Cricetulus griseus: one gene and its partner. The protein of the gene in region 1 purifies or fractionates together with the protein of each later gene. This does not show direct contact. Links are inferred from orthologs where the notes say so. Each region holds a gene or a part of one and is shown in the gene's direction. Other genes may lie near its edges.

Region 1 (3,813 bases):
CCTGGATCAAGCTCCGGTTGTCTAGCTTATAGGAAAGTGCCCTTATCTGCTGAGCCATCTCAACTGGCCCTCAAACAGCTTTTTAAAATGTATTACCTGCTGAATATAGCAGATAACTTGTCCTAACTATTCAGACTGAGGAGTTTGGGGCTAGCCTAAGCAACGTGACAGACCTCATTAAACACACCAAACAGCTGTCTGCGTAAGGCAGGTGTTGGAGGAGACAGAAATGCTAACAATCACCTAGCTGGACTGCTCTTTAAAGCCAAGTCATATGTCCCTCCCAGCATTTGCAGAGTACATTCTGATGGAACCCAGCCCAGACTATGCACCGATATTTGGGCTGATGCAGGAGAAAATTTACATCAGTAAGATTGTGGTTGAGTTCCTGAGAGACAATCCTCACGCCATCTATGAAGACCTAATAAATAAGATCCAGGTGAGAGCTTTGCCTTCTCTAAGAGGGAGGGGTTTGTATCCCCATATAGTATGGATGATGCAAGAGAAAACTGCATTCAGAATCAAACTTCCACCAGTAGAAGTTTGGTAGATTAATGCAACAAGCCTGGGGGTGTGGCTCAGTTGTAGAGTCCCTGCCTAGAAACCCCAATTTGGGTCTGGGGGTGTGCAGCTTTTGGTACATTGCTTGCCTAGCATACTTGAAATACTAGGGTCCACCTCCCCCAGTATTACAAGGAGGCAAAATATTAGAAACATCTGTTTTGTTCTTTCTCTCTCCCAAAGACCACTGTCCCTCCTTCTGCCCTTAACCTGAACCGGTTCACAGAGGACTCCCTCCTTCGCCATGCCGAGTTTGTGGTCAATCAGGTAGAGAGTTACAATGATGCCAAGGACAATGATGAGACACCCATCTTCTTGTCTCCGTGCATGAGAGCCCTGATCGGGTTGGCTGGGGTCACCCTGGGACAGAGGTAAGGATGTAGTAAGGATTGGATGGGAGACTTGAGACCAGAGAAGGCAGTCTGTGTCTGGTTCCCTAAAATGGCAGCCATCTCTCTCAGGCGAGCAGATAGACGCCGTAAGATCGATGTTTCTGCTAAGGAGAAGGACAAAGGGCCCACAAAAGCCACCACCACCAAGTTGGTCTACCAGATCTTTGACACTTTCTTCTCAGAGCAGATTGAGAAGGATGATATGGAAGACAAGGAGAATGCCTTTAAGCGTCGCCGGTGTGGTGTCTGTGAGGTGAGCAGGCCTAGCCACTCCCCTGAGCCATCCTTGGGTCTTCTTAGATGTATGTGAGGAGTCAGAACTCTGGACAGATGGGCTGAAGTAAACAAGTGTGTCCAGGGCCTTCGATGTGGGTGATGCCATTGGCTATATAGCCTGGTTTCCTAAGACACATTAGCTCTACCTCCATGTCCTGTGGGTGCTGAGAGACGGCTGACCCCAGAGCCACTCCCAGGCTGAAGTCTCTATCCTACCTAATTCTTCCAAGAGCTGGGTTTATAGACCTGTGCCACTATGCCTGGCTCTTGTGAATACTCTTCATATAGATGGCCTTGGAATCAACCTATGTCACATTAAAACAAAACTCAATGTGGGTAAGCTGGAGACGCAAGCCTGTGATCCAGGCACTTGAGAAGTGGAGGCAGGGGAGATCAGGATTTCAAGGTCATTCTCAGTTGCATAGTGAGTTTGAGGTCACCCTGGTCTACAGGAGACTGTTTGAAAAATTAACTTATATCCTGAACCATGGCCTGCATGTGCACATGTATTTTGTTTTTCAAGACAGAATTTCACTGTGTAGCTTTGGAGTCTGTCCTGGCACTCACTCTGTAGACCAGGCTGGCCTTGAACTCGGATCCCCCTGCCTCTGCCTCCCAAGTTGCTGCGACTAAAGGTGTGTACCACCACTGCCCAGTGTGTGCATGTGTATTCTGAGGCAGCTATGTAGACAAGGCTATCCTGAAACTGCTGATGCTCCTTCCTCTGCCTGCTGAGAGCTGGGCATCTAGGTACTGCACTGCCATGCCTAGCCCTGTGATGTCAGTGTCCTGACACCAGCTTTTGGGGCTCACCTTGACTCAGGCTGTAAAAGGGACTTGGGCATCCTGAGAGCTCTGAGAGAGACTTTTACATGTTAGTACCCAATGGACTGCTGGGGTTTTTAGAGGCTGTCACTCTAACCCTGTAACAGCTCAGGTTTCAATCTGTTTCGACATTCCCTGGGTGCAGTAGAACCTGGCTGGTCCCCATGCCGACAGTAGTGCTCAGCCTTTTCTCGTGGCAGCCCTCCTCAGGGTGCCCTGTCCTCATCATGCTTTGACTTTTTCTCGGTGTCCTGGTACCTAATGTGAATCCCTTTTAAAGTGAACAAGGGAGCTGGGTGCTTGGTAGCCCTTTTGTTACCTTGTTCTCATGCTGTTTTTGTTATTGGCTGTCCCCACTGACTCCTCAGTGACAGTTGGGGACATTGGTAGATGTGTAACAGAGCTGTTGGTGAGTTTCTAGGATACTCAGCACCCTGTGTACCTTCAAATACTCAGATGCAGAGGACCCTTCTAAGGGTACAGTGTTGGCACCTGTGCATATCTGTCACAGGGCCCTGAGTCATAGCTGGATGACTTGATACCTAACAAAGGTTAAGTCTGTGCAGTTGTCATGCTGTATCCCTTAGGGAATGGGTGGGAAAAATCTAAAATGCTCAGCATGGATGCAGTATGTCTTACTGGTGACGGTGTGCACACAGGCTGCTGTGTACATGTGGAGGTCAGAAGTAACTTTGTGGAGTTTGTTTTCTATGTTGCTGTGGGTCTTGGGCATTGAACTTGGCTTGGGAGGTTTGGCAGCAAGCTCCTTTACCCACTGAGACATCTCACTGGCCCTGAGCATGCATATATTTTTGAAAGTTTGGGTTGGGTGTGGTGACGCACCTTAATTCCCAGCATTTGTCTGTAGAGGCAGGAGGGTCTGAGCTTGAGGCTAGCCTGGTCTACATTGAGTTCTTCTAGGTCAGCCAGAACTATGTAGAGAGACCTTGTCTCAGAAACACAACAAACTCAAAGTTCCTAGTTATGAATGGCTGGTTGATCAACCCTTTTAATATTTTTCAGGTCTGTCAGCAGCCTGAGTGTGGGAAGTGCAAGGCCTGCAAGGATATGGTTAAGTTTGGTGGCACTGGACGGAGTAAACAGGCTTGCCTCAACAGGAGGTAGGCTGTGCTATGTTCCATTCTTCCGACAAGAGAAGCCAGGGCAGCTGGAGCAACTGTACTGCAGTGTCCTGTGGTGACGAGGTGCGGTGCGGAGCTGGTGGGCGGGATGCTTCTCCCTTGGGTTGGCAGTGGTGTATGTTCTGCAGGTGTCCTAACTTGGCTGTGAAGGAGGCAGATGATGATGAGGAAGTTGATGATGACATCCCAGAGGTGCCATCGCCCAAAAAGATGCATCAAGGGAAGAAAAAGAAACAGAACAAGGATAGAATCTCCTGGCTGGGACAGCCGTTGAAGGTAAGGCCTCTTCCTCTTGTGTGCTGCTGCGCCTCAGCCTAGCCCTGTAGCCAGGAAGCAGGTGCTACCCAGCTGCTGTCCCCTTCCCTCCCAACACTTGAGAGTGGAATGCAAGACCTCAGGCTGGAGCTCTACAACTGAGCCGTATCAGCCTCATTGGCAAATCTGAGCTGCCTTTGTAGCCTGGGCAGCCCATGTACTTGTACACTTCACGCCGCTCTGTTTCCACTTCAAGGGCTAAAGTTATAGACACATTATGCCACCATGTCAGGTTTGGGTTTTTTTGTTTTTTGAGATAGGGTTTCTCCGTAAGCTCTGCCTGTCTTGGAACTCCTAATGTA
Region 2 (3,699 bases), on another chromosome or scaffold:
ATGATGGGAGGAGAATAATGACTCCTCCAGTTGTCTTTTGACTTCAGACACACCGGGGCACGAGTGTACAAGCATCTTCCCATAAATTAATAGATATAATAACATTTAAAAATTCTTCACTGTTGTACACCAGAGAAGAGAATTTGGCTACTGTGGCACCTTGATATTCTCAAGAGGGACCAAAATTCTGTTCATTGGCCCTTAAATGTCCTAACAGGTGTGACTACTTACTCCAAACAATTTCCTCCTGTGTCTTCCTTCTAGATCATTTCTCAGGATGAAGCAGACAGAAGAGGGAAAGTGTATGACAAGTATATGTGCAGCTTCCTTTTCAACTTGAACAACGGTACGTGCTAAGCTGGAGGCACTTAGCTCCTTGAACAGTGGTGTGTTCTGAGCTGGAGGCACTTAGCTCCTTGAACAGTGATATGTTCTGAGCTAGAGGCACTTAGCTCCTTGAACAGTGGTGTGTTCTGAGCTGCAGGCACTTAGCTCCTTGAACAGTGATATGTTCTGAGCTAGAGGCACTTGGCTCCTTGAACAGTGATGTGTTCTGAGCTGGAGGCACTTGGCTCCTTGAACAGTGGTGTGTTCTGAGCTGGAGGCACTTAGCTCCTTGAACAGTGGTGTGTTCTGAGCTAGAGGCACTTAGCTCCTTGAACAGTGGTGTGTGCTGAGCTGGAGGCACTTAGCTCCTTGGAGGTGGTTTGGGATCTGATTGCTGGCTGAGCATTTCAGGTTGGAAGTCAGCAAGATGCCAGGAAGGGGCATGTGTCTACAGGAACAGCTCCTGGGATTTTTTTATCACCAGGCCTAGGCTCAGGGATGTGTGAGGAGAGGGGAAGTCCCCATGGAGTAGAAGGGTTATATGCAGGAAACAAGGAGCCCCAGACACTCTGGCTGTGAGGGGACATTGTCTCCCCCACAGCTGTAGTTTGTCTTGTGTTCCCTGGGATTTGGGGGCTGAGTAGCTTCAGCACCCGGTTAGTCACCATCTCTGATCTGGGAGCACAGGCAGCATGTGGAAACCTTGTGGCCCAGGGTGTTGTCCACAGGTTGTGAGGAAAGCAGCAGCTACCTCAGCCAGGGTTGGTAATACAGATATTCAGAGAAACTTTCAGCTGGACAAATAGAACATGTTTTCTTTCTTCTTTATGAAAATGTTCCATAGAAATATTCTAATCTTAAATCTCAATATGCCTACTTCTTGATATTCACAGAAATTCGGCAGGAATCCTTTTTTTTTTTTTTTTTTTTTTTTAGGCATGTTTTGTTCAGCAACATATAATTGAGAAGTCGTGGCATTTGAGAGCCATATTTAGCCACCAGGGATTCATTTTAATGTAGAATAGTATTTTCTTCCAAATGTCATTTTGTATTGAATGTTTTATTTGCTTTTGAGGTCAAATCCTGAAGACCTGTTTCTAAAACCATAACAACTTTAGTCCATGGTTGCAATTAGTCACTGGATTGTTTTCTTTTGTTTTTTTAGATTTTGTGGTGGACGCAACCCGAAAGGGCAACAAAATTCGTTTTGCTAATCATTCAGTAAATCCAAACTGCTATGCAAAAGGTAGGCTTTTAGGTTGGCACTGCCAATTTGATGCAAAAAATTCCCTTTTTTACCAGCCAAGTGATAGCAGACTTCAGTATCTCTGGGGCACCTGCTGTGTGAAGTCAGTTACCCGCCATGGCCTGTCTTCATGCTCACCAGCCCCGTGTTTCTCCTTCCAGTTATGATGGTTAACGGTGATCACAGGATAGGCATCTTTGCTAAGAGAGCTATCCAGACTGGTGAAGAGCTGTTTTTTGATTACAGGTTGGTAAAATAAACTTTTAGTATAATCTGCAGGCTTTCCCTTCCTGTACTGTGGGCTGAGGTCAAAGGCCGTTAAGTTCTTTGCCTGATCTGCTGTCATTGGAGAGGGCATTCTTTGAACTGGCCAGTCATTGATTGCTGTGGACACCAGAAGGGAGTTAAATGCTCCTTCAATATAGGTTGCCATGTGTTAATTATATAATGCTTATTTGAAAAAACAAACCCCACGCAGGAAGCTGCGTTGAACTCCCGGCTGTTGATGACTGTGACCCCTGGGTCTTATGTCTCACTTCACGTCGGTATTCTAAGGCACCCTTTCTCATTGGTGCAGTTTGTGTATCTATCTTCATTGCTTTAATTGTTGTCGTTACCCTGTGGTCACTGTGGAATCTTTTTGGGGAAGCTAGTACAACTGACAGTGTAGAGCTCCGCAGGCAGGAGACAGGCAGGAGACAGGCAGGCTGGCAGTGTGTTCTACCTGGCTGTGGGACAAACATGACAAAACAGTTACTTAAATGTGGTCAAGTAAAGATATCTAGTTAGAGAATTCTTGTAACTGAATATCCACCCCACCTAGAAACTTTAGTTGCTGAAATGGGGGCCTGTGTTGCTTAGTTCTAGTACATTGTACTGTATAGCTGGAGAGAATTAAGTGAGTGACACCTGGGGATTGGAATAGGGTCCTCATGCTGTGTCTCGTGCATGCTCTCAGTGGACCAGGGTTACAGGCAAAGGTGTCCAGCTTCCTTAGTGATGGGACTTTCCAGATCTTAATTTTGCTTTTTCAGTATTAGACACAGACATCACAATGTGGAATTGGCTCAGTAGAGTGCCACAAAGGCACAGGGAGGGCTGTGGGACTGAGGAGTGACAGTTGCATGCTTCCTCTTCATGAATGCAGCTGAGTGACGGGGTCTGCGAGTTGTCATGACATAATCCTCTCCATCAACAGGCTTGGTTTTCCTAATATTGGACAGTAGTCACTTCTTGTTCATGTTGTTTCAGATACAGCCAGGCTGATGCCCTGAAGTATGTGGGCATCGAAAGAGAAATGGAAATCCCTTGACATCTCCTACCTCTTCCCTCCTCTGAAACAGCTGCCTTAGCTTCAGGAACCTTGAGGACTGTGGGCAATTTAGAAAAAGAAAATGCAGTTTGAAATTCTGAATTTGCAAAGTACTGTAACAGTAATTTATAGTAATGAGTTTTAAAAAATCAACTTTTTATTGCCTTCTCACCAGCTGCAAAGTGTTTTGTACCAGTGAATTTTTGCAATAATGCAGTATGGTACATTTTTCAACTTTGAATAAAGAATACTTGAACTTCTTGAGTCACTTGTCATAGAGCGTCATCAACTGATTCTAGAAAGACTATATTCAGTGGGAAAACACAACTTAGCTTTGGTTTTCCAGTTGTCTATGATAAACATATTGGCATTGTGTTTGCCTAGATACAGTGATACCATTGCCTTTTAGTCTTGAGTGAATGACACTGGTGTGGGTCCTGGGCATTCATCGGGGAAAGTGAGTCAGCTTGTTACCCAGGAAAAGTTGTTCAACCTCCAAATCTGCTGTCCATATGTAAAATTGTGGTGTCTGAGCCGCGACTAAGTCCAAGTATCAGGCAAAAGCCTGGAGATTTAATTAGAAGAGACGTCTGGCCGCTTGTGCTATGTGCGTCTGTCTGACTTTATTCCAGGGGGAGAGCTGCCTTATATACACTTACAGCACAGTGGAGAAACCCCAGGTGTAAGAGTGAGTATTTTCCCAGGTATAGTTGATGCTAGTGGGGCGAGGCTGGGGCTGTAAGCCAGGACTGGAAAACAGGATGCACCTGTGGTTATTGGCCGACAAGCAACTCAGAGACCCTGTGGGGGCTGG

Evidence for each region.
Region 2: the proteins of Dnmt1 (region 1) and Ezh2 purify together in Homo sapiens (affinity purification with western blotting; 6 studies listed by BioGRID and IntAct, with this or other methods). This does not show direct contact. The link is inferred for Cricetulus griseus from reciprocal best matches to the Homo sapiens genes DNMT1 and EZH2.

Annotation. Positions count from the first base shown.
Region 1 is NC_048597.1:133,788,356-133,792,168, reverse strand, and holds part of Dnmt1 (DNA (cytosine-5)-methyltransferase 1), read left to right. Parts: intron 1-287; coding exon 288-439; intron 440-744; coding exon 745-932; intron 933-1,022; coding exon 1,023-1,206; intron 1,207-3,077; coding exon 3,078-3,175; intron 3,176-3,324; coding exon 3,325-3,472; intron 3,473-3,813. UniProt on the Homo sapiens protein: Methylates CpG residues. Preferentially methylates hemimethylated DNA. Associates with DNA replication sites in S phase maintaining the methylation pattern in the newly synthesized strand, that is essential for epigenetic inheritance.
Region 2 is NW_023276806.1:222,413,933-222,417,631, forward strand, and holds the end of Ezh2 (histone-lysine N-methyltransferase EZH2), read left to right. Parts: intron 1-264; coding exon 265-346; intron 347-1,492; coding exon 1,493-1,573; intron 1,574-1,734; coding exon 1,735-1,819; intron 1,820-2,824; coding exon 2,825-2,885; 3' UTR 2,886-3,149; downstream 3,150-3,699. UniProt on the Homo sapiens protein: Polycomb group (PcG) protein. Catalytic subunit of the PRC2/EED-EZH2 complex, which methylates 'Lys-9' (H3K9me) and 'Lys-27' (H3K27me) of histone H3, leading to transcriptional repression of the affected target gene.